Arabidopsis thaliana: one gene and its partners. The protein of the gene in region 2 interacts with the protein of the main gene of each other region in a pairwise test. Each region holds a gene or a part of one and is shown on either strand. Other genes may lie near its edges. The genes, in order: SCL21, AT4G14720, NF-YC2 and AHP2.

Region 1 (7,767 bases), on a different chromosome or scaffold from region 2:
CTTTTGTTCTTCTTCTCTTTTCTCTCTCTCTTAAACCCAATTTGAGATTGTTCGATTTCGATCTACGAGATTCTTACAAGAACATAAGCAGCTTCGGTTTTTTGGGATTATCTTATTTGGTCGGATGATGATCTTCTCGATGTCTGTGCTAGGTAAATTCTTTATTTTATTTTGTTTTTGAAGTTGTATTAAATTCTTTAATTTAGTATTAAATGTTGAATCTTTATGCGAATCTTGTTACTGGGTCGTCTCTTAACTCCGTAGTAAATGGAACAAATTTGCCGACTTTTTATGTAATTTGGTTATAAGATTTTAGCAAATGCTTTAATTTTGGGGTTTTGTTTGTTTCAAAGTAAAGTACTTGAGTCTAAAGATCGTTGGTGAAGCATAGGACTAATCAATTTTGAGTCTTTACTAAGATTGTAATTGATATAGAAATTTCCCAAAAGTGGAGACTTTTAGTGGTTATTCTGCAACATTTTATTCCTAATTGTTGTTTCTGTGGAATTTAGTGTGAATTCACTGTAATGATTTGGTTTTTGTTTGTTTTGATTTCTCCTTCAGGCTTTGGGAATTAGATATATTTGGGGTTAAGCTCGAGTCTCTCCGGTTTTGAGTTTACTTGAGTTTGTTAGTATTTATGGCTGAGGTGGGAAAAGTTCTGGCTAGTGATATGGAGTTAGACCATTCAAATGAGACTAAAGCAGTGGATGATGTTGTTGCCACTACTGATAAAGCGGAGGTCATACCAGTGGCTGTAACTAGAACTGAAACCGTTGTTGAAAGTTTGGAATCTACTGACTGTAAGGAGCTTGAAAAACTTGTTCCACATACGGTAGCTTCGCAGTCGGAAGTAGATGTTGCTTCCCCGGTATCCGAGAAAGCACCGAAGGTTTCTGAAAGTAGCGGTGCATTATCTTTGCAGTCTGGTTCGGAAGGGAATAGTCCTTTTATTCGTGAGAAGGTTATGGAAGACGGATACAACTGGCGGAAATATGGACAGAAACTTGTGAAAGGAAATGAGTTTGTAAGGAGCTATTACAGGTGCACTCACCCTAACTGCAAAGCGAAAAAACAGTTGGAACGGTCTGCGGGTGGACAAGTCGTGGATACCGTTTACTTTGGGGAACATGATCACCCAAAGCCTCTTGCTGGTGCTGTTCCTATCAATCAGGATAAGCGAAGTGATGTCTTCACAGCTGTTAGTAAAGGTGAACAAAGAATAGATATAGTTTCTCTAATTTATAAGCTGTGCATTGTTTCTTATGATATCATGTTTGTAGAGAAAACATCTGGATCCAGTGTTCAGACACTTCGTCAAACCGAACCACCAAAGATCCATGGAGGATTACATGTTTCAGTTATTCCACCAGCTGATGATGTGAAAACTGATATTTCACAATCAAGTAGGATAACGGGGGACAACACTCACAAGGATTATAATAGTCCTACCGCAAAGCGAAGGTATTGATGATTGATATGTCGGTTTGTTTTTCATGGTTCTGGAGGAAGACTTCACCATTGGTGTTCCTTGTTTTTTCTTCTTATGTTGATGTCACTAAATCAGGAAGAAAGGAGGGAACATTGAGCTGAGTCCAGTGGAGAGGTCAACCAATGATTCACGCATTGTGGTTCACACTCAGACTCTGTTTGATATTGTGAATGATGGGTACCGATGGCGTAAATATGGTCAGAAATCAGTAAAAGGCAGCCCATATCCAAGGTAGTGACTGCTTACATGTTTGAAATATAATGTCAAACTTTTGGTTTCATTCTTCGCTGCTCACGTTCTTTCTCCATTTGATGTTTTATGTATTAGGAGCTACTATAGATGTTCAAGCCCTGGATGCCCCGTCAAGAAACACGTAGAGAGGTCATCTCATGACACAAAGTTGCTTATAACAACTTACGAGGGAAAACACGACCACGATATGCCTCCAGGAAGAGTTGTTACTCATAATAACATGCTGGACTCGGAAGTTGATGATAAAGAAGGAGATGCCAACAAGACTCCACAGAGCTCAACTCTTCAATCCATTACAAAAGACCAGCATGTCGAAGATCACTTAAGAAAGAAAACGAAGACTAATGGCTTTGAGAAAAGTCTTGATCAAGGTCCAGTTTTGGATGAGAAGCTGAAGGAGGAAATAAAAGAGAGATCAGATGCAAACAAAGATCACGCAGCCAATCACGCCAAGCCGGAAGCAAAGTCAGATGATAAAACCACTGTTTGTCAAGAGAAGGCAGTAGGAACCCTGGAGAGCGAGGAACAAAAACCCAAGACAGAGCCTGCCCAAAGCTAAGCATTCAGTGTTGTACCGAGTGGTAATTTATATGGCTGTTTTAACATAGATTAGTACAGGCGATATGGTTATAGACTGTACAGTTGTTGTTCAGGCGGGACCAGATTTAGATTAGTGTTTAATGGAATAGTATGCTTTAATACCTTTATGTAACCACTTCCATTTGGTTCAAATAAGAGTTACAGGAAGAGAAGGTAACACAACAAGAGCCCTTCTTTGTTGATGGAGCCTGTGTAATAGTTGTAGCATGGGGATGTATATGATTTGATTCAACCTTATTAATGGTTATGAGACAAAACTATCTATTACTTCCAGTTCTGTCTTTTGCATTACATTCTTGGAGACGTTTATTCTTTCACTTCCATGCACAAGATGAGACCAAGATTCGGTCCATCCAACCAAGGTACAGAGCACCATCTCTTTCTTCAATCGCATACCCGTTGCTGTAATCTCTCAAGAGGGCTCTAATGGTGGCTGAAATGATTGAGCTCAAGGGGTATGGCTCAAAACCCGCCATGGAAAACCTTGACTTCCATTTCCCGAGAAGCTCGTGTCTTTCGATCCTCTCGGCTCCTTCACAAGCTATGATGTTGACGACATCCCTTGCCATGCAGTGCTGCTCGATATTGATCCTTTCCTTGTGATTTCTCGGAAGCATAACATCGATAGATTCGAACATTGCCGTGTAATAACTTAATGTCTCAAGGAACCTAGGAAGGAAAGGGGAAGTGTTCGTGTTGCATTCTTGTTCCACAAGAGTGACTACTTTAGGTGATAGACTCTTCACCATCCTCAGCAACCGGTCCCTGTGGTTTTCCATGCTTACACTCTCATCTGGCAAATGATGCAGCATGTAAGCAAAGTTCACTCCAAGGGCTTCGCCATCTCGGACATCAAGATTTTCCACTTCAACTTCACAACTTGGCCTTGAAACCGCATTGAACCTGAATGGAACATCAAACTTCTTTGCAAGTTTCTCTAGTCTCTTCTTGACTGTAACCAAGACAGATCCATCACCAACTCCGGTAATTCGAATATTTGGAGCCCCACCAGGCCTAGCTGCAAAAGCCTGGATAAGTGCTATCCACTGGCTCCCTTGTCCAATTTGGAAGTCAATAATGTGAATCCTCTCTTCATCCTTCATTGCTTCTGCAATCGCACCATTCGCTGACATGTATCCAAACTTGAAATATGGACAAACCTCATGCAGAACATACACATAAGATAAAAATTCATAACTCTCTGGTTCTCTGGACTGGAGAGACTTATATATCGAACTACCAGAAGCAGCAAGCCTAGCAACAAGCCCTTCTAACATATAAGCTCCCAATCTCTGGATTGGCTCACCAGAAATCGAAACCATACCGCGCAACTCACCCATACACCATCGTGCCATTAGAAGATTATTCTCAGAAACAGCTTTTGCACAAGCAACAAGTACCAACTTCAAGTCTCCCCTTGATATTGCCTCCACTATCAATAACAAATCTTTAGCATCATCAGGCCACATGGAGAGTTCATGGCAGATAGCATCATCGATACTCTCAGCTATCTCTGGCAGTGGCTGCAACATTATTGAACCTCTTACATTGTCCATCACAAATAAGCAAGTAAGAATCTTTGAACATCAACCATTATCCTCAAATGACCTTTTATTTATCTGATCTTCATAACAAACACCTGTAGAATTCATAGACAAAGTCATTAATCAGAGACTGAATTAGATATCAATATTGAACAATAATATCCATGGAGATCAAAACTCTAACAAGAACTCTAGTATCATTGAAATCAACTCATGACTCTATGAATCTACGTCAGCCATGAACTACTTCATCAATAAACAAGGCATACAAGAGTTCCAATCCTAAACAAACTAATTTGACAATTTCTCTTCACACTTTAGAGTAAAGCTTGCTAGAAAGAGCAATCATTTACAACAAACCAACATCAAACTTATCAAAGAAGAAATGTTTTCATGTTTTGTGGATAAGAAGAAGCAGAGCATCAAAATCATCAAGAAAAGAGAATAAAGGTTTGATTTTTATGAGAAAAACAAACCTTGTGTAGGTTAAGAAGTGATCTTTCGGTGGAAGTCGATAAGGGATTTGGTTTTGCAAGTGAGAGATCCAACCAAAGCTCGCAGCTGAAGCAAAAGGAAGAATCTTTTTAGTTGCTGTAGTGAAGAAAATAACACATCACATACGACGTCGTTTTAGGCTTAAACCGAATAAGACCCGATCACCGACTTGACACATCTCGCTTAAAGTCTCTGGTCAAATGGGAAATAGTGTAAGAAGCAATCTAAGAGACATCAGAGGACGACGATCGATGGATCCTCGGATGTGGCACAAAGTCGCCGCTATTTCCGGTGAGATTTAAGATAAAGTAATGATCTTTTGATTTTGATCTTGTGAGGAAAGGTACTGATTCGGATAGAATTGGTTTAGGTATGGCTGCTCTTGGTTTGGGAACTTATGGTGCTCATGTCTTTAAACCAGAGAACCCTTCTTACAAACAGGTTTAGATTCTTGAAAATTGTTGGAAAATTCGATACTTTGTTGGATTTCTGTGAGAAAGTTTAGGTTTTTTTGTTGTTGTTCAGGTGTGGCAAACGGCTTCACTTTACCATTTGGTTCACACTGCTGCTCTTGTTTCTGCTCCTAGCACCAAATATCCCAACATTGTTAGCTTTCTCTTCTTGTACTCTGTTTCTCTAATCTTTGTCCTTTGAGAGTTGATGGAGCTGACATATCTTTTTCTTGCTTAGTTTGGTGGCTTGTTGACTGCTGGAATTGTAGCCTTTTCCGGCACGTAAGTTGTTATCTTTTTGTTTCTCAGATTCTTCAGTTTGAGATGTGTATGGTAGAGCTTTTGTGCTAGATGTTTGTTGGATGTCTTGTCATTGAGGTTATAGTAGTGCATTCATGGATATTTGAGCTATTTAGATATGATTTGGACTTTCTAGAATTCATATCTAATCTCTAGCAGTAGCAATACTTGCCACAATTCTTCGTGGCTAGGGAGATTTTATCGATTTCGACATGTGTCCAACTCTGAAGCATTTGGAAACCATTGTATCACTTATTTAATAGCATAGGTCTTTGTATTTGAGTTAATGAATGGTATTTGTCCCCTTTGTACTTCCTTTGATATGTGAAGGTATGCTCTTTGGAGAAGTAACTATATTTTAGATGCTTAGTAGATAACTTTAGTTTTGTGTTCAATAGTCTATTTCCGGGTATGAGTATGTGAGAAGTTTCATGTGTGTTGAAATGTTGTTGCAGGTGTTATATGGTAGCGCTGCGGGAGGACAGAAAGTTTTCGACATTGGCACCATTCGGAGGCTTTGCGTTCATTGCTGCATGGGCAACTTTACTTTTCTAAACAATCTCATAACCATCTATATTGTCAAGTTTGTGGTCAAGCTTATCCTACATATGAACTCACTGTTTTTTTTTGTTTACCTAAGAGATTGCTTAATAACAATTCTGTGTCGACAACCATTAAGCATCTTCCTTTACTTGTTCAGTTTGTTGCTAAAGGGATTATGTAAATGACGACCATATTAATGTAATCTTATTACCATACAATTTATCAAAATTCTACATTACAAGAACTTCCAAGTTCCAACAAAGATTTGTTTATATTGTTCACCGGTAGTATAATTCATCATCTTTCATTTCATCTTGGTCTTTCCTTTGAATCATTGGACATACTCAAAATGGCACATACTCAAAATGGCACGAATCGTGACCTATCAAATCATGAGATAATCAGAAACAGATGGTTCAAGATTTTGATTGATCAAAGAGCTTAAATAACTGTAACAAAAAGGGTTTAGATAAAGTTGCTTACTAGGGTCGGTTTGTGTGATAAATGCAGTGCTGTTGAAGTTACAGGAACCGCCGTTGCGCTTATAACGCTGGTAATAGTTATTGAAGACAACAGAGGCATGGTCCTTGACAGTGTTGGGCAAGAAGCAAGGCTGGTTAGGCTGAATCGTACTGCAGTCTGCTCCACCTGTTTGACAAGCCCAGTCTACGGCTGCTTGTATCACATTATCTGGTATCTGTCCATCGGCTACACACCATTGTCCGAACTCCGCTTTCGCTACAAAAATAAGATACCCCATGTTATAGAGATCTTTGAGATTATGTGTATGTTACAATAATATTGTACCTGAAAACGTTACTGTTATGAAAAGTAGAGCAATTGCTATCCCTAAACAAAAAGTTTTCATCTTTTACAAGAGGCAAGTTGAACTGTTTGAGAGCTTAAAGATGGTTATAACTCGAGTATTTTATAGTGTTAGTATTCTGTGTTTAGAATGGATTATACTCTGACCAACAAAATAAAGAATGAATTATGTAAGATCTTATATTTAGGTGTAAGTCATATCAACTGCCAAATTTTGTTGACTATGAATTTGATTCAAATATATATGAGTTATGTTATATGGAATGTGGTCAAGCTTATCATATATAGCTTATTTTGTTTCAGAATGGATAATGTCAATTACCAAATTGATGTAATTTTAATACCATATATCTTATTGAAGTTCTACATTTGAATATAATATCTGTTTCATTAGCTGGAGAAGAAGAGAAAAGTGAAACATCTAATCTTTATTGCATGTGCACCAAAAATAACAAATGAGTAAAACAAGATATGTAGGTGAAATTTATTGCACCACCAACTTTGAAACACAACAATATTGGAAGCAGAACTTTAAGCCTCCTAAAACCAAAGGATTTAGCCAGAATTGCATACTAGGGTCGCAATCCATGATCATTTTTGAGTGGCACTCGGGAGAGAACCATATAAATTAAAATGGTTTGGTTCCCGCCTAAGAGGATGAATGTGCAGACCAAATAAAATGTTTTGGTTCCCAGCTTGTGAGAATGTATGTGCTTAGCTCGGAACCTCTTAGTCATAAATAGATAAATGTTTTTAAAAAATCGGTGATGCGCCATTAAAGTAACTAGAACCTCCATTGTGCTTATAACGCTGGTAATAATTATTGAAGACAACGAAGGCATGGTCCTTGATAGTGTTGGCCTGCTGGCCTTGAAACAAGCTAAGGTTGGTTAGGCTTTAATCTTATTGCAGTCTGCTCCACTGGCTTGACAAGCCTAGTATATGGTTGTTTGTAACACATCACCAGGTGCCTTTTTATAGGCTATCACCATTGTTGGTTCTCCACTTCTATTATGAAAAGAAGATTCATAGACATTTGTGAAACTGCGTCTATGCAATAATACTTTTATCTGCGTATCCTTGTCAAGAAAATTTTCATCTTCTCAACAATGATGCGAAGTTGAGTATTTTATAGTTCTCGAAATTCTTTAAAATTTTAGCTTCAAAGTTAATCAAACATTTGATGCACTACTAGTTGTAAAAATGTTAGTTTTTCTTTAAATATAATTTAATATTAAATTAAAAAAAAAACGAATTAATACAC
Region 2 (8,857 bases):
ATTAGTGTACACCCTCAATCGAAGTAGAATGATTCGAATCATCGTAAATCATTCAACTACTAGATCATTATGAGTACTTGACTATGTTAAGAATCTTACATCATAAAAAAATATGGGATATAAAGTAAAATATAAGGAGTATATAAATCAGTCGACTCACTCTCAAGTGGTTTTCAAGTTAAAAAGTTATGACCAAACCAAAAACAAAACGAGGTTCGATCCAAAACGATGAGTGAAAATGATTCATTATCTCAAATGTGCATGTTAGAATTCTCACATTAAAAGTGAAAAAGCAAACTATGCTAAGATATAAAAGATATGAGTCAATATATTCGTCGTCTTTTGGTACCACTCTTGTAACACCCCCAAACCGTCCTAAAAATAAAAAAGAACAGGGGCGTCACGTATGACGCCCGTAATCAATCAACAAAAGTTCCAAGAACGAATTCGTTCCCCAAAGTTGATCGACCGCGAGTATCTTTACCTCACGAACATGGCCTAAGGCTTTTCAACCCGTACCACATTCGTGAGTTGTGTCAGTTTGGACAGGACTAATATATCACTTGGCCAACTTCGGATTTTTAGAAAACCGCTTTTAAATTGAAAGTTTATTGGAACTAAAGATCTAGAAAGATTTTGAAACCAAGATATCAAAAATGACTATATATATGTCTATATGGTTTGTAAATATTTTTAATAAAGTCCAAATTATTGCATAAATCTTTGACTATATGTGTATGTATGTCAGTAAGAGGAACATGGGTTGTTGCTAGTTTATTTCTTTTAATGGTTGATCATGAGAGATTGTTTTATGCTTTATATCGGACTTCTATCACTTATTTTGAGACAATCCATATCAATAAAAAAGATTTGCCCACAAAAGACAGCATATACGGTTGGGTTGTTCTGCGGTCGTCCAATTGTAGTCACCATCAGATAGTTCAAATCGCAAGAACCACAAAACAAAGATGAGGCCCAAGAAAAAGACTGACTGATATGATTTAAATGGGCCTATGAAAAGAATAGGCCCATTAAAGGATGGTAAAAGTGTCCCTACAAAGGGGGAAACAGGTCCTGACTCACTGACTCATCCTCTGTACCCGACCCACGCACTCGCGACCCCTCTCCCTGCACAAACATAACCTGTACGGTTCTTCAATCACTATTCATATTTTTTTATTTAAATACCATTTTTTTCCTTATAATATAGTAGTTTTCATGTTCATTACTCGATTATCTTTGCATTTACAAAAAAATAGATATTACACATAGTTTCAAAGAACAAAAAAAAGTCAAATTTACACTAACTAGCTTTAGTCCTTAGTTTAGATATATATATCTAAAAAGCTAATAATTTAGACGAGTAATTTAATTAATTCGACTAGATATTATTTGTCTAGTGGTTTATCTACTTTTGTGTAATAATCCAAATTTTAAATTTTGGATGTGGATGAATGAGTTTTGTAGACAATATATATATTTTTATATAAATCTGAAAGAGAGATGTTAGAACGATAAGAGACCATCACATTTGTTAGGATACAGCAATATGAATTGCAATCTTTACTTCGCCTTAATAGCAAGATCTTGAGCTCGATCAATTAATCACTTTCGACTCGACAACACATATTGAGAAAACCAAACAAGAAAATATATATTAGAGAACATAAATTGACATATATAGTGTTCACCAACCAAAATGGTGAACTACTTCAAGTTAGCCTCACAAGATTGTTGTAATCGATGGAAGTTTACAAGTTTAGTTGTTCTGATCATCTTATTAAACCAGTAATCCGACTAACAATTGGCTAGTAGTTCACCTATATGTTATATTCCAAAACCTCTCATATTCATGGTCAATTACAAAATCACAATATTGTTTTTTTTTAAAGCACATCATAATAAAGTCAACAATATATAATTTAAAAACCTTTAAGAAAAAAATAAATTTGGGTAGGGTTTGGTGAGTGGTGTCGATAGAAATGGCGGATGCATCCTTTAGATTAAAGGTATGGTACCAACTTGGATCCATTTCTTCGATAACGACTCTTCCTATTTCCACTCTGTTTTTTTTTTGTTTCCCTCTTCTTTATCTCATATCTTCCACTACTCTCAATAGTCAATTCTATATCCCAATTTTTATGTTAAGTTTTTACGATTTACAAGTTATTGGCAAATTGAAAATTGCTGTCAACTTGCTAGAGGGTATTGTAACAGTACTACCAAATATGAGGTCGAGTCTTAAGTGCTATATATGGAGAGAGATGATTTACGTTTGTGGAATCGCAATAAGTATATATTATCAAATGCTAGTCCATGGACATAAAACTATGAGCCAAAAATTAGAAATTTCTGGTTAACAATAACAATAAAGAAAAAAAAAATGGTATATGCATATACAGTATAAGGTAGATAGTTTTGATTTTTGAAGACCATTGATTAATATTATATATTTCAATATCAATTGTTGGTAAGTTATAAAAACCTTCAAACGAGAGTGAATTAACTTCAAAGTCACAAAGTTCGACTTTCGATGTTAAAAAAAATAAAATGTTTACACGTTCCATTCTCTTGTTCAAAAAAATTATGGATCAGTATTCCAAATTTCATAGTAATCTAAAAAGAAAAAGTTGCATTAATATGGTTTGCTTATCTAATCATTTTTCGGGACATCACCGTATGTATGGATGACGAAACTATATTTTAAAAAGAAGTTTTCAACTGTTCGTTTATTCATGCATGTATATCTTGACAATTACGACATTGGATGAATTGAGTGATGAATCCTTATCGTACATCACGAGTATAATTACATGTATCATGCATTGTTATCAATTATCACTTTATATATTGGATAATGAGAAGGGATGTCACGCAAGACCAAGCAAGGTTTAAGGGAGAATCGATATTGGTCAGACTCATGTGAAAATATATTTCTCCTCCTTCGTCTTGTCAATTTATTACTCTATCTCTTGTATTTTTCAATTGTTTTGGTATTCACTTCAGAAAATGACTAGTCTTCGTTTTTATGTGTTGAGCCATTTTCATTTACATGCATCTAAATGATCTACTGAATATGGATATCGAAGAGATTTTTTAGTATAATGGTTTGTGCTAGATCCTTTAACAAAAAAGTAAATGGTTTGTGCTAGTGTTTTTGTTGTATTGCTAATTTGCTATCCAATTCATAGCACACATGTTGTTGCCAAACAAATGCTAAATCCATTTTAAAAGTATCAACTAGTAAATTAGCTTAACAAATTTTTTGTTAACATGTTTATGAGATGTTTTTTTAAGAAAAAAAAAACTCATTTAACATGATTACATTTAGGGTTTGATTGGTTGTTTTAAACTGAAAATTGTCTGTTTGCAAAAATGTTTGGAATGATTATCTTTTTGCAAAAATTGCGTGACATGTTGAAGTGTTGCAATGCTGGAGGTTCTGCTAACTAACAAGTAATAATCGTATAAGTGACATGATCTTCCATTTTTTAGAGATACTAACCAAGAATTGTAAAACCAGGAAAAAAACACTAACCAAGAATTGATGATTGTCCATCTAGACTAAAGTAGTATACAAACAAAACACAAAAGATATTTTGTTCTATTTTTGGAATAACTCTTATCCATTTATAGAAATAATTAGTTGTTTAATCAAAATATCACATGCAAATTGATCGTATGCGATTTTAGATAAATTGACATCCACTCAGTAATAAACAAACAAGATACTCTCTGATTACAAAATAATCTCTGTTTTCTTTCGTGTCATTTTTCTTTATCACTCATGCTATTATTATATTTAAATTTAATATAAAACTGTTACCATTTACTATTTTATTTCACTGTTTGACGCGAAAAAAATAATCAGCATAAGATTTACCCAAAAAATAAAAAATAATTGGGATACTTAAGCAATGCATGATTAGGCTATAATCTAGAGAGACTAATAGGATGCTTACGTGGCAGTCTAGGGAGCTTCGCTGCTCCAAAAACCATTCCCCTAAAATTGAAGCCCATAGACTATTAGCGACTTCACTCTTTCTCTTTCTTTCTCTCTCTCTCTCTCTCTCGCTCTTCTAATTTTGCCCTCAAAACCCTCCAATTATTACGAAAACGCCACTGCTCTCTCGTCGGGACTCCGGTGAGGCCGTTTTGGCCGGAATCTGACAAGGGATATGGATGTAGGAGTTACTACGGCGAAGTCTATACTTGAGAAGCCTCTGAAGCTTCTCACTGAAGAAGACATTTCTCAGCTTACTCGCGAAGATTGCCGCAAATTCCTCAAAGAGAAAGGTTTCTTCTTCTTCCTTTCTCCATTTTTTTCCGGTCTTATTGTCTTCGACGGTAGGATCTTCCTCACGGATTTTGCTGAGAAGAATCGTACATAGTCAATTTTTTGAAATTCTCTATTCTTCTTCTCTCCGAGCTTTTTTTTTCGCTCTCTGGAGAATGGCGGCTGACACGTGTCGAAACAGGAATGCGCAGGCCTTCGTGGAATAAATCTCAGGCGATCCAGCAAGTTTTATCTCTTAAAGCTCTCTATGAACCTGGAGATGATTCCGGCGCCGGAATCCTCCGCAAGATCCTTGTTTCTCAGCCGCCAAATCCGCCTCGCGTGAGTGTTGTTCTTCGATTTTGTTTCGATTTACAGAGAAAAATCTAAGTTCTGAAGTAGTAGAGAATCGTTTACTTGGTTGGTGCTGATTTAGGGAAAATTGTTGTTCTGTGTGTACTGCTGTTTTGTTCACAGGTTACAACAACGTTGATTGAGCCAAGGAACGAGCTCGAAGCTTGTGGAAGGATTCCTTTACAGGAAGATGATGGTGCGTGCCATAGAAGGGATTCTCCAAGATCAGCTGAGTTTTCTGGTAGTTCTGGTCAGTTTGTTGCGGATAAAGATAGCCACAAGACTGTTTCTGTTTCCCCCAGGTTTACATTTTCTTCTATAGCGTTTTGACTTTGTGTGGTATCTTTCTTCTGCTTTCATGCCTCAAGAAGAGAACTGATGCATTGTGACATTCTGTTTGTGATCTTAGAATAAGTACTTGGTTTGATATCAGTGTCTTAGACATTGAAAAGTTTCTATATGAATCATGGTTTTGATGGTGGATTGGTCACACAGAATTTAGGTTAAAAGAGTCAGATAGATCTTCTTGGTTCTGTGTTACTCTTTACTCTTCTGTTTTGAGGATTGGTATGATGTGATGTGATTATTGCTAGTGAACGATAAATCAGTTACTTAGTCCATTAGTCTATATGATTTGTGAATTCTGCAATTACTAACAAGAGTTTTAGGGGTAGTTCATGTACAAAGTCTTATTGATATTAGGTGCATGTTGTTTTATAAACAAATTACTACTCCAATGTTATTTAATTAAGTTGTTTAAACACGCTTTTTTGTAATGTTGCATCAGAAGCCCAGCTGAAACAAATGCGGTGGTTGGGCAAATGACGATATTTTATAGTGGCAAAGTGAATGTATATGATGGAGTACCACCTGAAAAGGTAAATGAATCACATAATTCTGTCCAGCCTGAAAATATAAATTTTGATGGTATGGTTTTGATCATTCATCTTGTGTATTGATTTGCAGGCCCGGTCTATCATGCATTTTGCAGCCAATCCAATTGATTTGCCTGAAAATGGTATTTTTGCTTCTAGTAGAATGATTTCGAAACCCATGAGTAAAGGTAAGCATTTGCTAAAGTGTCTGATCTGCTTTTCAGTTGAAAGATTGATGATTCAGACTTGAAATGAGTTTTTTTTTTAATGTATAATCTAACTTGAAAAAATGACTAGAGCTGCTGCATCTCAAGATGAGTCTTTCTTTCTTTCTTATGTCAAACACGGCCTTTCATTTTGTCCAATTTTGAAAGGAGGCATTGTTAAATTACCAAAGAAGCATGTCTAAATGCTGTAATTGCTGCTACCTCTACTAGCTTATGTGTCTACAGATGCCTCGTGCCCCTTTTTTTGAAATTGTGATTTGATTTTTTCAGAGAAGATGGTGGAGCTTCCCCAATATGGACTTGAAAAGGCACCTGCTTCTCGTGATTCTGGTACAAACAGTACTCATTTTACCTTAAAGATATGAAATCCTATTATTCAATGATGCTTTAAAACACCTGAGAGCGAAATTTGGTCCACCTCTTCACCTCTACATGCTACGCTAAACTACTTGCTTGTTCTGCATGATATACGACCATGAAATTCTGTTAATTTAACTATTGTTCTTTTTGTTGGTCTTTTCTGAAGATGTTGAGGGTCAGGCGAACAGAAAAGTATCGTTGCAAAGATATCTTGAAAAGCGGAAAGACAGGTAGTTGTTGCTATTATGCTGTGTGCTTGCTTATTCCAAATCGATGAATACTGATACCTTTCTTTCTGAGCAGAAGATTTTCTAAGACCAAGAAGGCTCCAGGAGTTGCGTCCTCTAGCTTGGAGATGTTTCTGAATCGTCAGCCACGGATGAACGCTGCATATTCACAAAACCTTAGTGGCACAGGGCATTGCGAGTCACCTGAAAATCAAACAAAAAGTCCCAATATCTCAGTTGATCTAAACAGTGATCTAAACAGCGAAGGTATGAACAAGCATTTGTCAAATGGTTCCAATGATCTCCCTTAAAACTCTCATTCGCTTTTTTATAGATAATTAACAAGGTGCCAAAAGAACTGGAGATGGTACTACGGGTCAAAAGGCGGGAAGAACAATTTCATGTTCTTATAACATGTTAGCCATGTACAAAAAGAAAGAAAGCAAACAATGAATGTTCTCGTTCATTGTGGAAGAAACATGGGTTAAAGATTTGAGCTGGATCAGTGCGGGTCTTGTATGGTTTTGTTTTTTTTACGGGTTGCGTCCATCTTTTTTGGTCTGTAGTTTTGAGTAGGTTAGAGAGACGCGAGAGAGAGAGAGAGGATGTGGCGGTTTGTATTATGTAAATGCTTGTCTTATAATGAGAGAGACCTTATTGATGATACCAATCTTTGAGGTCCAAGTAACACAACTTCTTTGTGATTGATATGTATGAGATAATTAATTTGTCTATTTTCATGGCATGATGTATGTGATATGTCTGAGATTTGCAACATTCTTCTATAAAGTTGAGAAATAAGGGTAGTTTAGTCTTTTTAACCAAAGATTTTTATTTATTTGATCTTTTCCCTGTTTTAAAAAGAAGAATCGAGTAATCGGGTGGTTTTGAAGACGAAGAAGGACTAAGACATCACGAGGAACACGATGGGTGAAGCGGTCAAGGTATGTTTTTATCTTTGTCTCCTCTGCTTCTGATCTGTTAATGCCAATCGATAATTCCTAGTTTTGCGATGCAAGCATGAATCGTCGATTGTTATCTGAGTGATTTGATTCATTTTCGACGATTTTCGAATCATCATAACTACTTCTTTTGCTCAAATCTCGCAGTCAGTTTAATGCCTATTCGTATTCAATTTAGTTATGCAATTGACGATTTCTCGAATTGTCTGAAGTTTTGAAGCTAAAATCAGATTAAATATAAAATATCTGAACATTGCCTCCCAAGGAATCTAATCCCATCTTGATGTGCTTTTGCTTAGGATGGGAGAGAAGAAGTGATTCAAGCTTGGTATATGGATGATAGTGAAGAGGATCAGAGACTTCCTCACCACAAGGATCCTAAAGAGTTTGTATCGTTGGACAAACTTGCAGGTCCCCCTCTTTGTGTGTTTCAATTCAATGTTGTTCTCTCTGCTTCTCTATTTTGTTTCACATGTAATGTTTGTGTGCAGAGCTGGGAGTACTTAGCTGGAGACTTGATGCTGATAACTATGAAACCGATGAGGATTTGAAAAAGATCCGTGAATCTCGTGGTTACTCTTACATGGTTTGTGGTCTTTATTTATTTACTATCCCACTAGACTTGAATGGTAGATGTTTATTTTTGTCCAAGTCTTATTTTAACTCTCTAGGGGTTTTCTCAATCTTGGTTTGATGATTAAAAAGTGTTCAAAATGCAGGACTTTTGTGAGGTATGCCCGGAAAAGCTTCCAAACTATGAAGTGAAAGTGAAGAGCTTTTTCGAAGAACATTTACACACTGATGAGGAGATCCGTTACTGCGTTGCAGGAACTGGTAAGAACTTCTTTTACTGGCGGCTTTACTCGTAAACTTAAAATTTCGATATAGTAGTCATGTTTTATTTTCTTGGGAAAAAGGTTACTTTGATGTGAGAGATCGTAATGAAGCTTGGATTAGGGTATTGGTAAAGAAGGGAGGTATGATAGTCTTACCTGCTGGGATCTATCATCGCTTCACTGTGGACTCTGACAACTATATCAAGGTGCAATGTCAGCTTTTCTTCTAGCCATTTATTTTATAGTTTGGGCTTGCTTAGAAAATTGAAATATCTTGTTGAACAGGCAATGCGGCTATTCGTGGGTGAACCGGTATGGACACCATACAATCGCCCACACGACCATCTTCCTGCAAGGTACAATGTCCTGGGTTTTCCCCTTTTGTTTGTTCTCTTATGCAAACAATGGGATATATAATCAAGCAAGAAATTCTGTTATTTTACGAGAAATAAATTCTGATATTTTACAGGAAAGAATATGTCGATAACTTCATGATCAATGCCTCGGCTTAGAGAGCTTCCTCTCTCTATATCTGGCTTTCTGAAACAAGGATCTATAAACAAGGCCTACAATAAAGAAAGCTTTCCTGTCAAGTATTGGATATTTATATGTATTCCTGTGTAGAATGATGGCTTTTGGTATGCTTGAGTTGTTGTAAACTTAGTTACACTCTCTGATATGTCTCTCTTTACCATCTTTGTCGTATCCCATATACGAAAAGATTACATTGGGATTCATAT
Region 3 (6,788 bases), on a different chromosome or scaffold from region 2:
ATGTATTCATGTTTTTGTACATCATGCATTAAACCTATATAAAATTGCATACTTACGTATTTATATAAAGTAGATAGCATATGTATTATACGGATGGAATGATCATTAGTTTTTTTGCGCAATCTTACATCAGAGCCTTGTGGCGTGGATTTGAAGTCTAACCATGCCATGCCATATTTTAATTTATGGAAAACACCAATATATAATTTAATCATCACAACTTATAGTCTAAACAACTACAAAATTAATCATCATACATCATGATTTGGATGTACAACTTCGTGTTTAAACTTTTATTTTATTTTTCTCTTTCAAATAAGGAACTTTGCGTTCTGAAGTGGTGTTTTAAAGATAAGTCATTTATGAAGTCATTTATACGTTAGATATAAATATTTTGAAATTTTATGAAGTGGTGTTTTAAAGATAAGTCATTTATGTTCAGTTTAAAACGCAATGTCTATATATACCAGTATTCTCTAATTACTAATAGAAATGTGAACTTTCATTATTCTTTGTATTAAAACTTCATAGCAAAAAAAAGTAAATAATATTCCCTCCACATCAATTTAAGTGATGTTTTAAGGGTATTTTGTTCTTGATTCATTATAAGTGATGTTTTCAATTTGTTAATATCTTAATTTTTTTGGCTAATTATGTTTTACATCATGTTTTTGTTATTGTCTGAAAACTGAACTTAATGATGTTTTTATGTAAAAGAGATAAATTAAATGAATGTCTTGTGTTTTCTTAATTTATGCGTAAAAACCTTAAACATTAGATACAAAGTGATTAAGAAGTAAATAAAAGGAGTAAATAAGAGTAAACTTAGATGATGATGATGATGATGTGGGTTGAGTTTTATAAGAAATACGAAGACGAGTAAATAAGTTAATAGGCTAAAGAAAAGGATTATTGAATTCTCCTTCTGAACTAAATGTCAAATAATAAGTGTCAGGATTAATAAAAAATAAACTGATCTGAATTAATTAGGATTACAGTCTACAGATTTATTCTATTTATTTCTCCAATTGGTGTTACTTTTGTTTGTGGCATGGCCCTTGTGGTCTTTAACACACACGCACACAAACAACCGCTCTAAAGTTTACAATATACTAGATTTCTACTCGCTCATATCAAAATCTAAAGTCGAAAATCTTTTTGTATAAAATATTTAAAACTGAATAATCAAGAAATGTATCAAACTATTTAAATATTTCCGTGATGCTCAAATTAATATACATATTTTTCGTAACTCGTCAATGAATCATGCATAACTTGTTTACACAATTATACTTAATGGACACTATGATCTGTACACGGGCATATGAGTAACAAAAGAAATTTAAGAGATTACTAGTTAAAATCTGCCGTTAACTTCCGTACGTTCCATGCTTTTGGGTCTCTCTCTACGAGTGAAGTGCCTCAAATAAATAAGAGTTTTATTGAATGGAGTGGAAAATCTAATCTCTAACTAATAATTATAAAACATCTTCTGACGTAAAGAGCCGGGTTATATCAATGATATATATATAGGAGCTCCTGATAATAATCAAAAACATAACATTGCATATATAGAGAAAGATATAGTGAAGGTAGCTATAGAGAAGAAAGTAGTGTAATAAGAATGGGGAAAGGAAGAGCACCATGCTGCGACAAGAACAAAGTGAAGAGAGGGCCATGGAGCCCTCAAGAAGATCTCACTCTCATCACTTTTATTCAAAAACATGGCCATCAAAACTGGAGATCTCTTCCCAAGCTTGCTGGTTAGTATTTATTCACATGCATGTTTCGGTAATACTATAAAGTTTTAAATAACTAAGAGAAATAATGATTGATATATATACATAGGATTGTTGAGATGTGGGAAAAGTTGCCGACTAAGATGGATAAACTATCTGAGACCGGACGTGAAGCGAGGCAACTTTAGCAAAAAGGAGGAAGATGCTATCATTCACTACCATCAAACCCTTGGAAACAAGTTTGTACTCTACCTATTCATCTAATTTCTTTATAATAAGACAATATATAGTATGTAGAGACTAATTGATATATGTGATCATCAGGTGGTCAAAGATCGCGTCCTTCTTGCCGGGAAGAACTGACAACGAGATCAAAAACGTGTGGAACACGCATCTCAAGAAACGACTCACTCCATCTTCTTCTTCTTCATCCCTCTCTAGCACTCATGACCAAAGCACAAAAGCAGATCATGACAAGAACTGTGACGGGGCTCAAGAAGAAATACATTCAGGGTTAAATGAGAGCCAAAACTCAGCTACTTCGTCACATCACCAAGGCGAGTGTATGCACACAAAACCAGAGCTTCATGAGGTTAATGGACTCAACGAGATCCAGTTCCTGCTCGACCATGATGACTTTGATGATATAACCTCTGAGTTTCTTCAGGATAACGATATCTTATTTCCGCTAGACTCTCTTCTTCATAACCACCAAACTCACATTTCAACCCAAGAAATGACTCGAGAGGTAACCAAATCGCAATCATTTGATCATCCTCAACCGGATATCCCATGCGGATTTGAAGACACAAACGAAGAATCCGACTTGAGGAGACAGCTGGTTGAATCAACCACACCTAACAATGAGTACGACGAGTGGTTCAACTTCATTGACAACCAAACTTACTTTGATGATTTTAATTTCGTCGGAGAAGTATGTCTATGAATGTCAATAATATATGCATGACCAGTGTTGTATCCACTTTTGAATGTTGAGTAAATTACTATTTTACATGGATTGCCCATGCATTGAGAAGATGCTATGTTTTATGAGAGCTCTATGATATTGGTTCGTTTTTCGGCTAGATTCACACAAACAACTCTTCTCTTTTCCTTCTCGATCACTCTTATGGCTGCTCTCAGAGTCTCCGTTTTCAGAGGCCAAAACAGGTCGCAGGTTGATGGCTGGCAATGGCAGCATCGACTGCTTCCGGTGTGTCGAGATCAGGCGCCACACCAAGCATCAAGTCCTGAAATCGAATTAGGTGTGTGTAAGTTTCTTAGCCTAGATACAAACAACAAGAAATATGACTCCAACTGTACTCATCATTTCAATCACTTGATATTTGCTTCCTGTAAGGGCTTCAATGTCAAAAGCTTCTGAATTATCCTAAGTCCATACATATTTGAGAGACTGAGACGGTCTCAGTGAGACCAAACAGAAGAAGAAAAGAAAAGAAAAAAACAGAACAAATACTACAAAGAATACACAAACTTTTGATTCTTGCTCCAACCGTTTATTAAAGCACATGACCTGTTTGGGATCATCACATATCACACTAGAATCACAAAAACTACAAATTTCACAGCTCCGAGCACGCAATGATTAACAGAAATCCGACAACTACACCAATCTCTTACAGATTAAAACACAAAGAAGAGAGCTTGTGTAAGTTAAACACGTATGGTAAATACATTAGCAGTAAGAAGATACCTTGGCTTCTGAAAAGTGGAGCAATTGTGGACTTCACATAGAGGGATGGAGGAGACTGTTCTGCTCCTTACAGAACAAAACTAGCGACGACTCTGCACATAATTATCGGCATAATTAAACAAAGTCTGGCTCTTTCGAACCCCAAAGAAGAGTGGCGATAGCAAAGATGGATCCTTTGCCTCTGCAACTTCTTTCGATGGTTTCCTTTCCTCTGCTTCCCGTTTCCCTTTACTCTGTTGACAATTAGGGTCAAGTTTTGATCCGGCCCGGGTGATTTACAGCCCACAAGGTCCAATGGGCTTCTTCGAAAATAAGTTTGCGCGACGTTGCAAATGTCACGTGACTTTTGTTCACGCGCACTTCACGTGTTCTTCGTTATTCTTCGAAACCGTCCGATAAAGAAATTTCTGGAATAACACAACATAACCAATGAAAAGCATACAGGTGGAAGTAACGTAAAAACTCCCGCTTTTTCGACACGTGTCAACTAGGCGGAAGATACGCACCACCAGAAACGCTTGATAAAAAGCTAACCCGCCCCAAACCCATTTATCTTAGGGTTTCGCGAGATCTCACTCTCACTGGTATGTCTGTGTTTCTTCTTCCATTTTCTGTTTCTATTGGAAACTTCTCTCTCCAATTTCGTTTTCTTCACTTCTTTGATCCTTTAGCTTTGACAAAACCGTAGTAAAGGATCAAAAGTTATCATCTTTGGTCCATGTTGTGAATCGTGCTCTGCTTGGGTCGTGACTCCCAAATCCGGATTTGAAACCAGCATATCTGAGCTTAATTCGAGCATGCATGCGCTTCTTTTTTTCTGATTTTTTTTAGACTTTGGTTCTAAATCCCTTAACTTTGGATTAACTGTCAATCTACAATTTTATATTAACAGAGATAGCTTAGCAATGGAGCAGTCAGAAGAGGGTCAACAGCAACAGCAACAGGGAGTGATGGATTATGTACCTCCTCATGCTTATCAGAGTGGGCCAGTAAATGCAGCTTCCCATATGGCATTCCAACAAGCTCACCACTTCCACCACCACCATCAGCAGCAACAACAGCAGCAGCTTCAGATGTTCTGGGCTAACCAAATGCAAGAGATCGAGCATACCACTGATTTCAAGAACCACACCCTTCCCCTAGCCCGCATCAAGAAGATCATGAAAGCTGATGAAGATGTGAGGATGATCTCTGCGGAGGCTCCTGTGATTTTTGCCAAGGCCTGTGAGATGTTCATTTTGGAGCTCACTCTACGTGCTTGGATCCACACCGAGGAGAACAAGAGGAGGACCTTGCAGAAGAACGACATCGCCGCTGCCATTTCCAGGACCGACGTGTTTGATTTCCTTGTGGACATAATCCCGAGGGACGAGCTGAAAGAAGAAGGTTTAGGCGTGACCAAAGGGACCATACCATCGGTGGTGGGTTCCCCGCCATACTATTACTTGCAACAACAGGGGATGATGCAACACTGGCCCCAGGAGCAACACCCTGATGAGTCTTAAAACTTTTCCCCTTTCGTTTGTTTGGTTGTATCGTAGTAAGGTAGCTCTGCTCTGCTGGGAACCATTTCTATTGTGTTCTGTAATGACATGTTAGTATATCCCCAGTCTATATCTATGGCAATGCAGTTTCTGTTCTCATGTGCATTAAATAATAACAAGAATGATAGAAAGAAAATCACTACTAGTAATGCCCAAAACTTTACTTCACAGGAATTCAACTATACAGCTTTCATGTGATTGCTACTTTACAACCATTTTCTTTATGCTATTAAAAGCTTGGCTCCTATTCCTTTAAAGTTTAAACCTTGTCATCCTCCACATCTCCCTTAGTGGATAAAACCTTAACTTACTTGAACATGGATCCAAAGATACAAGTCCCTTCTCGCCATTCCAGTTGCAGTCAGGTGGTTTATATACCGAGATACCGAGAGCTTATCTGCTTCGGTCTCCATGCATTCCAAATGAGTTTTTTTTTTATGGGCTGTCCGTATTAGTAATAAATTACAGAAAATGCTGGTGCTTCAATCATTTGCTTGAAGACATGGCTTCCTCAATCCTTCTAATCACAATGCTAAGAGGACTTCCCACTTGGAGAGCTTCAACAGCGGCCCTATGTGCTGCCTTGTGCCACTTGAGTAGATTGTAAGATTGTAGAACAGACCACCTGGCTTGATTCGACATCTGTATGATCAAACGCACAGATTCGCAATGCTTAACAATCTGTACACTTGTGCAAGAAAAGTGGAAGCACATATTATACTAGTCAAATCAGATATATATGAATTTCATTAGTCCTGACCTGAGCTACGGATAACGGTGGTTCCAGAAGGACTGAGATGCTCCTGAACAGATTTTCATCATTCTCTCCACCCTCAGCCTCACCATAAACTAGCGCTTCAGCTGCAATACCAGCAAATAGTACCATGCTATACCTAAGAGAAACTGAACCAGCATTAGGTTTGTGAATGAGAGAAAACTCAGAGGGAGAGAACAACACCTTGACTAATAATCACCTATCAAATGAGCTACCGCTAAGTCGTCCCTCAGCAATCTCACTCTCCATCTTTTGATCCCAGAATTGGGTTCCAGCCTAGAGAAACACATGATAATCCATTTATGTACTCGGTTCCATATGTAGCTAAAAGAACATAGAATCACAGCACTACAAAATAGAATAGTATAACACTAGAGTGAATCTAAATAATACCTGGCCTTGAACCCCCATTTGCATGGCAACAACCGGATCCAATATCACACCACGGATTGGGCAGCCCATGAGGTATGCTGCACGACAAATAAGCTGCAATCGTTAGCCACAAAACGAGAAAGAAATTTCATAAAAATACTAATGATCACGAATGTCTTACCAACAAGAAGATGACCAGCTTCGTGAACTACGATTCTACGCTTATGTGGAGGCCAGTAGCATGATACTTGGGCTAAGCAGGTACCACCAAGAAAAACGGAATCCAAATAAGCTAGACCCAAAATGACAGCAAGGTTTGGCCGCACATCAATCTCCTGTGAAAGAAGATAGGAGACTCCACCCAGCAAAGCAGCCAGAGCAATGCTAGAACCACCAGAAAGTCCCCACTTCTTCGGTGAAAGTTTAGTCACTAACCAATATAAACAGTAAAATAAGTTTCCATCGCCACACACTGAGTAATCAAAGATGACTGAAGAGAGAAATTTGAGCTACACACCTTCCAAGCCAGTTGCAGACTTCAGGACAGTAGGTGTTACCTCTCTTGTTCCTTCCAAAACTGCATCACAGTGATACAGAAGCAAGAAACTTATGAAACGATACAAATTAATCAGTTCAAATGCTCG
Region 4 (7,129 bases), on a different chromosome or scaffold from region 2:
GTTTCATTGTTTACTCCATTGGTAAGCCTCTCGACGACTGGCTCAAGGACATGCCTGCCGTTGCCTAATGATGTTCATTGCTGACTCTTTCGTCCTCCATCATTTGTGCTTTTCTTCTTCTTGTGGTTTGTCTTTAAGACTTGTTATATTTCTTACAATATGTTTGTTATGTTCTCTGGTGTGTGTTTTGTTTTTTTTGGTATTACTTTCATATTTTTTTGGTCGAAGAGGACTTGTATTCGACAATGTCGCTTCAATTTTGTTGTTTCCTTAGAAACTAAATAAATATTGGTTTATATTGGAGTAAAATGTGTTTGTACTTTGTAGTTAATCGTTGAAAGTTTTGCCACTTATTGAGCTTTGTCTGCGAGAGTTGACTCGGAAGAATATTTGCACATTGTTCATAGAGAATCACATGATATCTCTTCTCTGGTGGATTAGGAACCAAACGCATCTTGTAAAAGTTTCCAGGTTGGAGATTCTGATTTCTGAGTGACACCTAACGATTCCATATTTAAAGCTTTATGTTTTTGTATGTCTCTCATTGCGATTGGTATTTTTTGTTTAAGTAAATATGCATAAATCCATTCGTAGAGGCATTCCTTACAGTACTAGTGACCACATATTAACCTTTTAGGTACGCACACCGAAGTTGGCTACATAACTTGGGTGAGTATTCCAATCTGTAATGTGAATAGTTTACCATATCACATATAGCTCTGATACCATAAAAAACTATATGTGAATAATATTAAAAATCTTATACACAAAATTTTCTTTTAAATGGTTAGTCTAATTGTAATTTAAAAATATCGAAATAATAAGTTGCAATTTTTTTTTTTTTTTTTTGGGTCTTTGAAAAGAAAATATAATGTCAAATACTTTAATTTTTCCAAGTAAATCGAAACATAAGATTGATATTTTTCTTTTATATAAGAAAATTAAATTAGATTTAATATTATTAAATGAGTGTTTCATATTATATTTTTCAGAAAAAGAGTTTTTATTAATTAACCAAATACCAATAATTTACTTAAAAACTTGTATTGAATCCAAATGTTTCCCAAAAAAAAAATATTTAATTGGGATTGACAAAAATAGCACCAACAAAATTTTTTCTTCCAAAAATAACAACTTTTTGAAAAATTTCACAAGTAGCTTTCAAAATTTTAATTAAATATTAAATATAAATAATTAATTTTATTTAAATAAATAAAAATAAAAATTTTCCGCTAAAAATTTTTCGTCAAATTTTCTGCCAAAACAATTCGGTAATAAATTTTCCCGCAAAAAAAATTTTCCGTCAAATTTTTCTTGTAAAAAAACTTGAGGAAGCTAACTACGACATTCGTGAGGATTTCACGGAATTCAGGAAAGATTTTACAAAAAAAATTTTCGTAAAATTCTTCCTGAATTTCGAAAAAGAAAAATTCGGGAATTCAGGAAAAATTCTACAAAATTCAGGAAGGGTTACAAAAGAAAAAAATTATAAATTTCGTGAAACCTTTCCTGAATTGCTTAAAATCTTTCCTATATTTTGTAAAAAAAATTCTGAATTTTTTTTTGTAGGTAAAATGTGGGCGGCGTAATTATTTTTGGTGGAAAAATTTTGACGGAAATTATTTTGTAGAAAAATATTGTTGAAAATTTTTGGTATGAATTTTTGTATTTTTTTAAATGTTAGTTGTAATAATTAAAAATTAAATAATTATTTGAGTGTTATTTATGTTCACAAAACTTTTGAATGGTATTTTTATCAAAAAAAACTTTAAAATTATGTTAATTATGAAAATTCTCTATTTAATTTTTTTCACCCAAATAAATAAATACATAAAAATGTCCAAATATTTGTGTGTTTCTCTTTTAATTATTGTTTCCCATTTAAAGTAAAAAAATCTGGTAGCAGCGTTACAATTCGCGAGAAAGACAAAACACAAGTTTCTTCTTCTTGGGATTGGCTATTTCCAGAAATCCAAGTCAATAATCAAAGTCCAAACAAAAAAATCCTCTCCCAATCTCCGCTTCACTCTTCTCATGGACGCTCTCATTGCTCAGCTTCAGAGACAATTTCGTGATTACACCATTTCTCTCTACCAACAGGTTTCAATTCCACAATTCTTCAAACCCAATTTCATCTCTTTGCTTAGCTAATTTAGCTCATATACACACTAGATTGACTCCTATATGCATAGATTCATGACAAAAGTGAAGAAAGATTGAATCTTTATGTAGATTTTTACAAGTTATGATTTTTAGGGATTTGAGTTGTGTAAAGGTTGGAACTTTAGATTCATGGGTTTGTGTTTTTTTTATGTGAAGGGGTTTTTGGATGATCAATTTACTGAGTTGAAAAAGCTACAAGATGATGGAAGTCCTGATTTTGTGTCTGAAGTGCTTTCACTTTTCTTTGAAGATTGTGTGAAGCTTATCAGTAACATGGCTAGAGCTTTGTAAGTTTTTGATATTCTCTCAGCTAGATCATCATTGCTTGTGTTGTCTTAAAGTGTGATTGTGGCTACTTCTATTTCAGGGACACGACAGGAACTGTAGATTTTAGTCAGGTAGGTGCTAGTGTGCATCAATTGAAGGGTAGTAGCTCAAGGTATGTATCATGTCTCGCTTTATATAAGTAGCAGAAGTTGTGTGTTGTTGATTGATGAAAAGCTTTGTGTTGTTTCTATGTAGTGTTGGTGCCAAGAGGGTCAAAACTTTGTGTGTTAGCTTCAAGGAATGTTGTGAAGCTAAGAACTACGAAGGGTAAGCGAGTTATGGTTTTCTCTTGGGACTCATTGGTTGAGTAATAATAGTCTCATGTTATGTTACAGGTGTGTGAGATGTTTGCAGCAAGTGGATATTGAGTACAAGGCGTTAAAGACAAAGCTTCAAGATATGTTCAATGTGAGTGTGAATAGAATCCATCTCTGTTTTTGGCTCTGCTTTTAATGAATCATTTTGGTTATGAGTAATGAACAAATCATTGACATTGTTGTTGTTGTTGTTGTTTCAGCTTGAGAAACAGATCATTCAAGCTGGTGGTATAGTTCCTCAAGTGGATATTAACTAAAGAGACTAGTCCATAAGAAGAAAAAAGATGATGACTTTCTTTCTTTAGTTTCTCTTCTAAATTATTTTGGATTTGGTGTTTGCTCAAAAACTCAATAAAATATGTGCAAAAAGAAACAAAAACAAGTGATGGTTGTTTATAAATCAGTAGTATGTATTGTTTGATCTCATCCGAGAAAATTGAAACCATTGGACTAATGAATGTGATGATAATATATATTGGTTTGCTTCTGAAAGGTTTGGTTTGAGTAAGATATAGTGATTACTAAGTAAGTCTTGACTAGTGGGTGCTTCTAAAAATTGTGTGTTTAGATCTTTTAGTTTCCCAAATTTGCCCATAATGTTTTCGTAATTATCTGAATTATTTGTCTCGAAGTTGACCTTTACTCAAATTAGTAAAAGTTTGGTAGTGACTTTCCAAATTTTTACAACCTGTCTCCTTATCAGAATATGAATATCGTAAACCCTAAAACCTAAATCTAAACCATTACCCATTCGATATCCGAAATGGACATTCTAAGAAAATATGGTAATTCTTTCAGGATAAATCACAAACCGCTTTCGACGAGATTACGGAGCATGTAGTTAATAAACGGGGAAAATGTCATTTAAATCATCACTTTACCATTTTCGTTGGTTTAAATCATGAACTTTGGATCTGGTGAATTAAATCTTTAATTTTATGTTGACTTTCAAATTAATCACAAATTCTTGTTGACTAAGCAAATTGAGACACAAATTCTTTTTTTCGATGTCGTCAATCGACCTTAAGACGAAATATTACTTTGAATTCGAAAAAGAAGAGAAATTCCAAAGAAGATGAGAGATTCTGAAGAAAAAGAGAGAAAAAATCAAAAATTTTGATTAGAAAGATTTCTAACGATGTGCCTTAATTGGCTTAGTCAACGAATTCGTGATTATATTGAACGTCAACATAAAATTGAGGATTTAAATCACTAGATCGAGATTTTATGCTTCAAAACCAACGGAAATGGTAAAGTGATGATTTAAATGACATTTATCCCGTTAATAAACCAATGAAACCAATAATTGTGGGTTGATATATCTTGAACTATTAATTTGGAGAGATTTGTATATAGAAATTTTATTTTAGGGAGAAAACTAGGTATAGAACTTTAGTTTTAGAGATATATAAAATTATAGATCGGAGTCATACTTTGAACTCTGGTAATAGTTTGGAAATAGACCCTTTTTTTTCCGAAATGGACATTTAAGAAAATGTGATAATCATTTTGGGATACATCACAAACCGGTTTTAGACCAACGTAGATTACCGATATAAAAGATACCAATAAAAAAATTAGAGATTAGGGAGCACGTAGTTAGTTGTAGACGCGAGTGTAGGAGATAACTATCTCTTTGCAAAATAGCCTTCATAGCTTCCGCAACAAGTAACTTTTTTCATCAGTCTCTACGAGTTAAAAGCTGAGCGAGAGCTAGACTCTCTGCAGATCAAGCTCAGCGATTCAGGCCCTGATACCTAAATTCAAGTTAGTGTTTTGCTCTGGTAAGCTGATCAAAGCTCTCATCTTTCTACATTCTTTTGATTCTTCCCCTATTTTCTCGAAAAAAGCTCACGATTTTTTACAATTTCAGTGTTTTCTTCTCACTCTCCTGTGTTTGATTCTTGTGGGTTTAACGTATTTGATGCTGAAACAGGTTCAATCAGATGAAAGTTTTCATCTTGGTGGCAAAATCCATAACCTTCATGTATGTGGTTACCAGAGGATTGATTCTGGTGTTTACTCGGTTTGCTAAGGATTTGGGGGTCTTTGTTCGGTTTCAGTGTCACTAAAAGAAACTTCTTTTATGACTGAGACTATTGTGGAGCATGAGATGGAAGAAGAAGCTGCAATGAGCTTGGTTTTGTTTTCAGAAAAAGTATGGCTTTGAATTGTCTCCTCATGATGATGATTCCATGGATTTAGATGGTGTTGAGTTGTTACTAGACTTGAGGGAAATGGTTTCTCAATCGGGTTTCGAAAAGTCTACTACTTGCAGTGGTGTTATTGCTCTGAGAAGTAATCTGCAGAGTAAATCAAGTCACAAATGCAAAATATGTGGCAAGAGTTTTGAGTGTTATCAAGCTCTAGGTGGTCACCAAAGAATTCACAGACCGATTAAAGAGAAACTAGTGCGTAAAAGGGAGTATACTAAATTTGATAATTCATTGTTTGAGTCCTTAGATGCTATTTCAAAACCATCAAAATTTGAAGTCTCCCAAGAGGAGAAGATGTTAGATTGTGTTTGAGTCGAAACAAGAGTTCAGTGAAGTATATCCTCGGAAGAGTAAGTTGCAGAAAAGACCTGAGAGTAGTAGCTCCTGCTATGAATGCAAAGTATGTGGCAAGATTTTTGGGTGTTATCGAGGTCTAGGTGGCCACACGAAACTTCACAGATCGACTAAGAGGGAATTAGCGAGTACTCAAGATGAGAATTCACTGTTAGACTCATCAGAAGCTAAGAAGATTGTTTCACAACCATCAAGCTTTAAAGTCTCTCAGGAGGAGAAGTTCTTACATTGTGTGGAGTTAAAACAAGACTTCAGTGAACCGCTTTCTCATTCGGGTGCATTACCATCTACTCTGAGAAGTAAATTGCAGACAAAAACTCAGTGGAAATCAAGCTGTCATTGCAAAATATGTGGCAAGAGTTTTGTGTGTTCTCAAGGTTTAGGTAATCACAAAAGAGTTCACAGAGAGATTAGCGGGAAATTAGCGTGTAAAAGGAAGTACACTGAAGACTATAATCCATTCTCTGACTCATTAAAAGCTAAGAAGATTGTTAAAAAACCATCAAGCTTTGAAGTCTCTCAGGAGGAGAAGATCTTACATTGTGTTGAGTTAAAACAAGACTTCGGTGAACTGCTTGCTCACTCGGGTTTCGACAAGTCTATTAGTTGCAGCAAATCGATCAAAGTGAAAAAAGTAGCGCGTAAAAATGAGAAAACTGAAGATAGTACTTCACTGTTTGGCGTGATTGACTCAGAAGCTAGCAAGTTTGCTTCACTACCATCAAGCATTGAAATCTATCATGAGAAGACCTTCCATTGTGTTGAGTCAAAACAAGACTTCAGTGAACTGTTTTCTCGCTAGTCTACTAGTTGAATCTTTTTCTCTTCTAAGTACAGAAGTTGCAGATGTATACTTAACATTTTCCTCTTGCTTGGTTCAAATACAGTTTCTTTGGTTAACTCATGTTTTCAGATACAGAACCAATCCAAAGTTCAAAATTGATTACTTAAACCAATTAATTGGTTTAGCGATTAGGGAGCACCAAGTTTATGATACGCGTGAGTGTAGGATATAACTATCCTCTGTCTTCTTTCTTTTGCATAATAGACTCATTAGCTTCCACAACAAGTAAATTTCTCCATTGTTGTCTGTCAATAGCTTAGATCGAAAGCGATACTACAAACTCTGCGATAAGTAAAAAAAAAGTGTTCTTTAAGGTCTTCAGCTCTTCGGATTAGGTCAAAACGTGTTCTTTCTCTTCCTGAGTCATAAAATCAAGTGAAGATTTTGTTCTGGTAAGCTAATCAAGCTCTCTGCTTTGCGATTATTCTTTCGTTTTCTTCCACATTTTCCCGAGAAAATAAACTGGAAAAAGCTTTAGACTTTTTCAAGTTTCTAGCGAAACATGATCACTCTCTTCTTAGAAATGTCTGATTTTGTGTGTTTCTTCGCGATCTTTGTCTTCTTCTCTGTTTTCTCGAGAAAATCAAACGGAAAAGCTATGAGCTTTGTTTCAATTTTCAGGTTTTTGTCGGCGAAATGTCTCAGAGACTTCATGGTTGCAAAACATGCGGGAGAAAGTTTGGAACTTTAAAAGGTGTGTATGGTCACCAGAGGATGCATTCTGGTAATCACAATAGAATCGAAGATGAGAATGGTTTGGAAAGGATTTGGGGTCTTAAGAAGAAGTCTAGGGTTTGCTCTGTTTCAGCTTTTGATCGATTCAAAGGATCTTCTTTTATGGCTGAGATTGAGAAACATGAGGTGATTGAAGCTGCATTGAACTTGGTTATGTTGTGTCAAGGAGTTTA

What was found.
Region 1: the proteins of AT4G14720 (region 2) and SCL21 interact in binary tests that used the Arabidopsis thaliana proteins (3 or more experiments, as listed by UniProt).
Region 3: the proteins of AT4G14720 (region 2) and NF-YC2 interact in binary tests that used the Arabidopsis thaliana proteins (3 or more experiments, as listed by UniProt).
Region 4: the proteins of AT4G14720 (region 2) and AHP2 interact in binary tests that used the Arabidopsis thaliana proteins (3 or more experiments, as listed by UniProt).

The regions. Positions count from the first base shown.
Region 1 is NC_003071.7:1,717,917-1,725,683, forward strand, and holds SCL21 (SCARECROW-like 21), read right to left. Parts: upstream 4,689-7,767; 5' UTR 4,675-4,688; coding exon of another isoform or gene 4,584-4,674; 5' UTR 4,365-4,583; intron 3,984-4,364; 5' UTR 3,901-3,983; coding exon 2,659-3,900; 3' UTR 2,445-2,658; downstream 1-2,444. Other genes in the region: ZAP1 (zinc-dependent activator protein-1), read left to right, coding at 641-1,464, 1,568-1,723, 1,820-2,303; AT2G04900 (uncharacterized protein), read left to right, coding at 4,584-4,674, 4,754-4,824, 4,909-4,989, 5,074-5,117, 5,591-5,690; AT2G04910 (Carbohydrate-binding X8 domain superfamily protein), read right to left, coding at 6,064-6,438. UniProt on the Arabidopsis thaliana protein: Probable transcription factor involved in plant development.
Region 2 is NC_003075.7:8,430,256-8,439,112, reverse strand, and holds AT4G14720 (TIFY domain/Divergent CCT motif family protein), read left to right. Parts: upstream 1-4,007; 5' UTR 4,008-4,178; coding exon 4,179-4,296; intron 4,297-4,478; coding exon 4,479-4,618; intron 4,619-4,753; coding exon 4,754-4,932; intron 4,933-5,417; coding exon 5,418-5,508; intron 5,509-5,596; coding exon 5,597-5,693; intron 5,694-6,002; coding exon 6,003-6,062; intron 6,063-6,258; coding exon 6,259-6,322; intron 6,323-6,395; coding exon 6,396-6,630; 3' UTR 6,631-6,653; coding exon of another isoform or gene 6,654-6,661; 3' UTR 6,662-7,140; downstream 7,141-8,857. Other genes in the region: ARD1 (acireductone dioxygenase 1), read left to right, coding at 7,246-7,263, 7,581-7,692, 7,773-7,867, 8,001-8,115, 8,199-8,323, 8,403-8,473, 8,587-8,629. UniProt on the Arabidopsis thaliana protein: Regulates the arrest of dispersed meristematic cells during lamina development.
Region 3 is NC_003070.9:21,020,760-21,027,547, forward strand, and holds NF-YC2 (nuclear factor Y, subunit C2), read left to right. Parts: upstream 1-3,722; 5' UTR 3,723-4,037; exon of another isoform or gene 4,038-4,345; 5' UTR 4,346-4,358; coding exon 4,359-4,958; 3' UTR 4,959-5,143; downstream 5,144-6,788. Other genes in the region: MYB72 (myb domain protein 72), read left to right, coding at 1,625-1,763, 1,849-1,978, 2,064-2,685; AT1G56180 (ATP-dependent zinc metalloprotease), read right to left, coding at 5,484-5,639, 5,758-5,890, 5,972-6,048, 6,166-6,242, 6,326-6,574, 6,662-6,721. UniProt on the Arabidopsis thaliana protein: Stimulates the transcription of various genes by recognizing and binding to a CCAAT motif in promoters.
Region 4 is NC_003074.8:11,260,314-11,267,442, reverse strand, and holds AHP2 (histidine-containing phosphotransmitter 2), read left to right. Parts: upstream 1-1,880; 5' UTR 1,881-2,034; coding exon 2,035-2,100; intron 2,101-2,319; coding exon 2,320-2,450; intron 2,451-2,530; coding exon 2,531-2,602; intron 2,603-2,685; coding exon 2,686-2,757; coding exon of another isoform or gene 2,758-2,761; exon of another isoform or gene 2,762-2,812; intron 2,813-2,825; coding exon 2,826-2,898; intron 2,899-3,007; coding exon 3,008-3,064; 3' UTR 3,065-3,317; downstream 3,318-7,129. Other genes in the region: UGD2 (UDP-glucose 6-dehydrogenase family protein), read left to right, coding at 1-68; AT3G29340 (zinc finger (C2H2 type) family protein), read left to right, coding at 5,003-5,218, 5,337-6,059, 6,843-7,129. UniProt on the Arabidopsis thaliana protein: Functions as a two-component phosphorelay mediators between cytokinin sensor histidine kinases and response regulator (B-type ARRs). Plays an important role in propagating cytokinin signal transduction through the multistep His-to-Asp phosphorelay.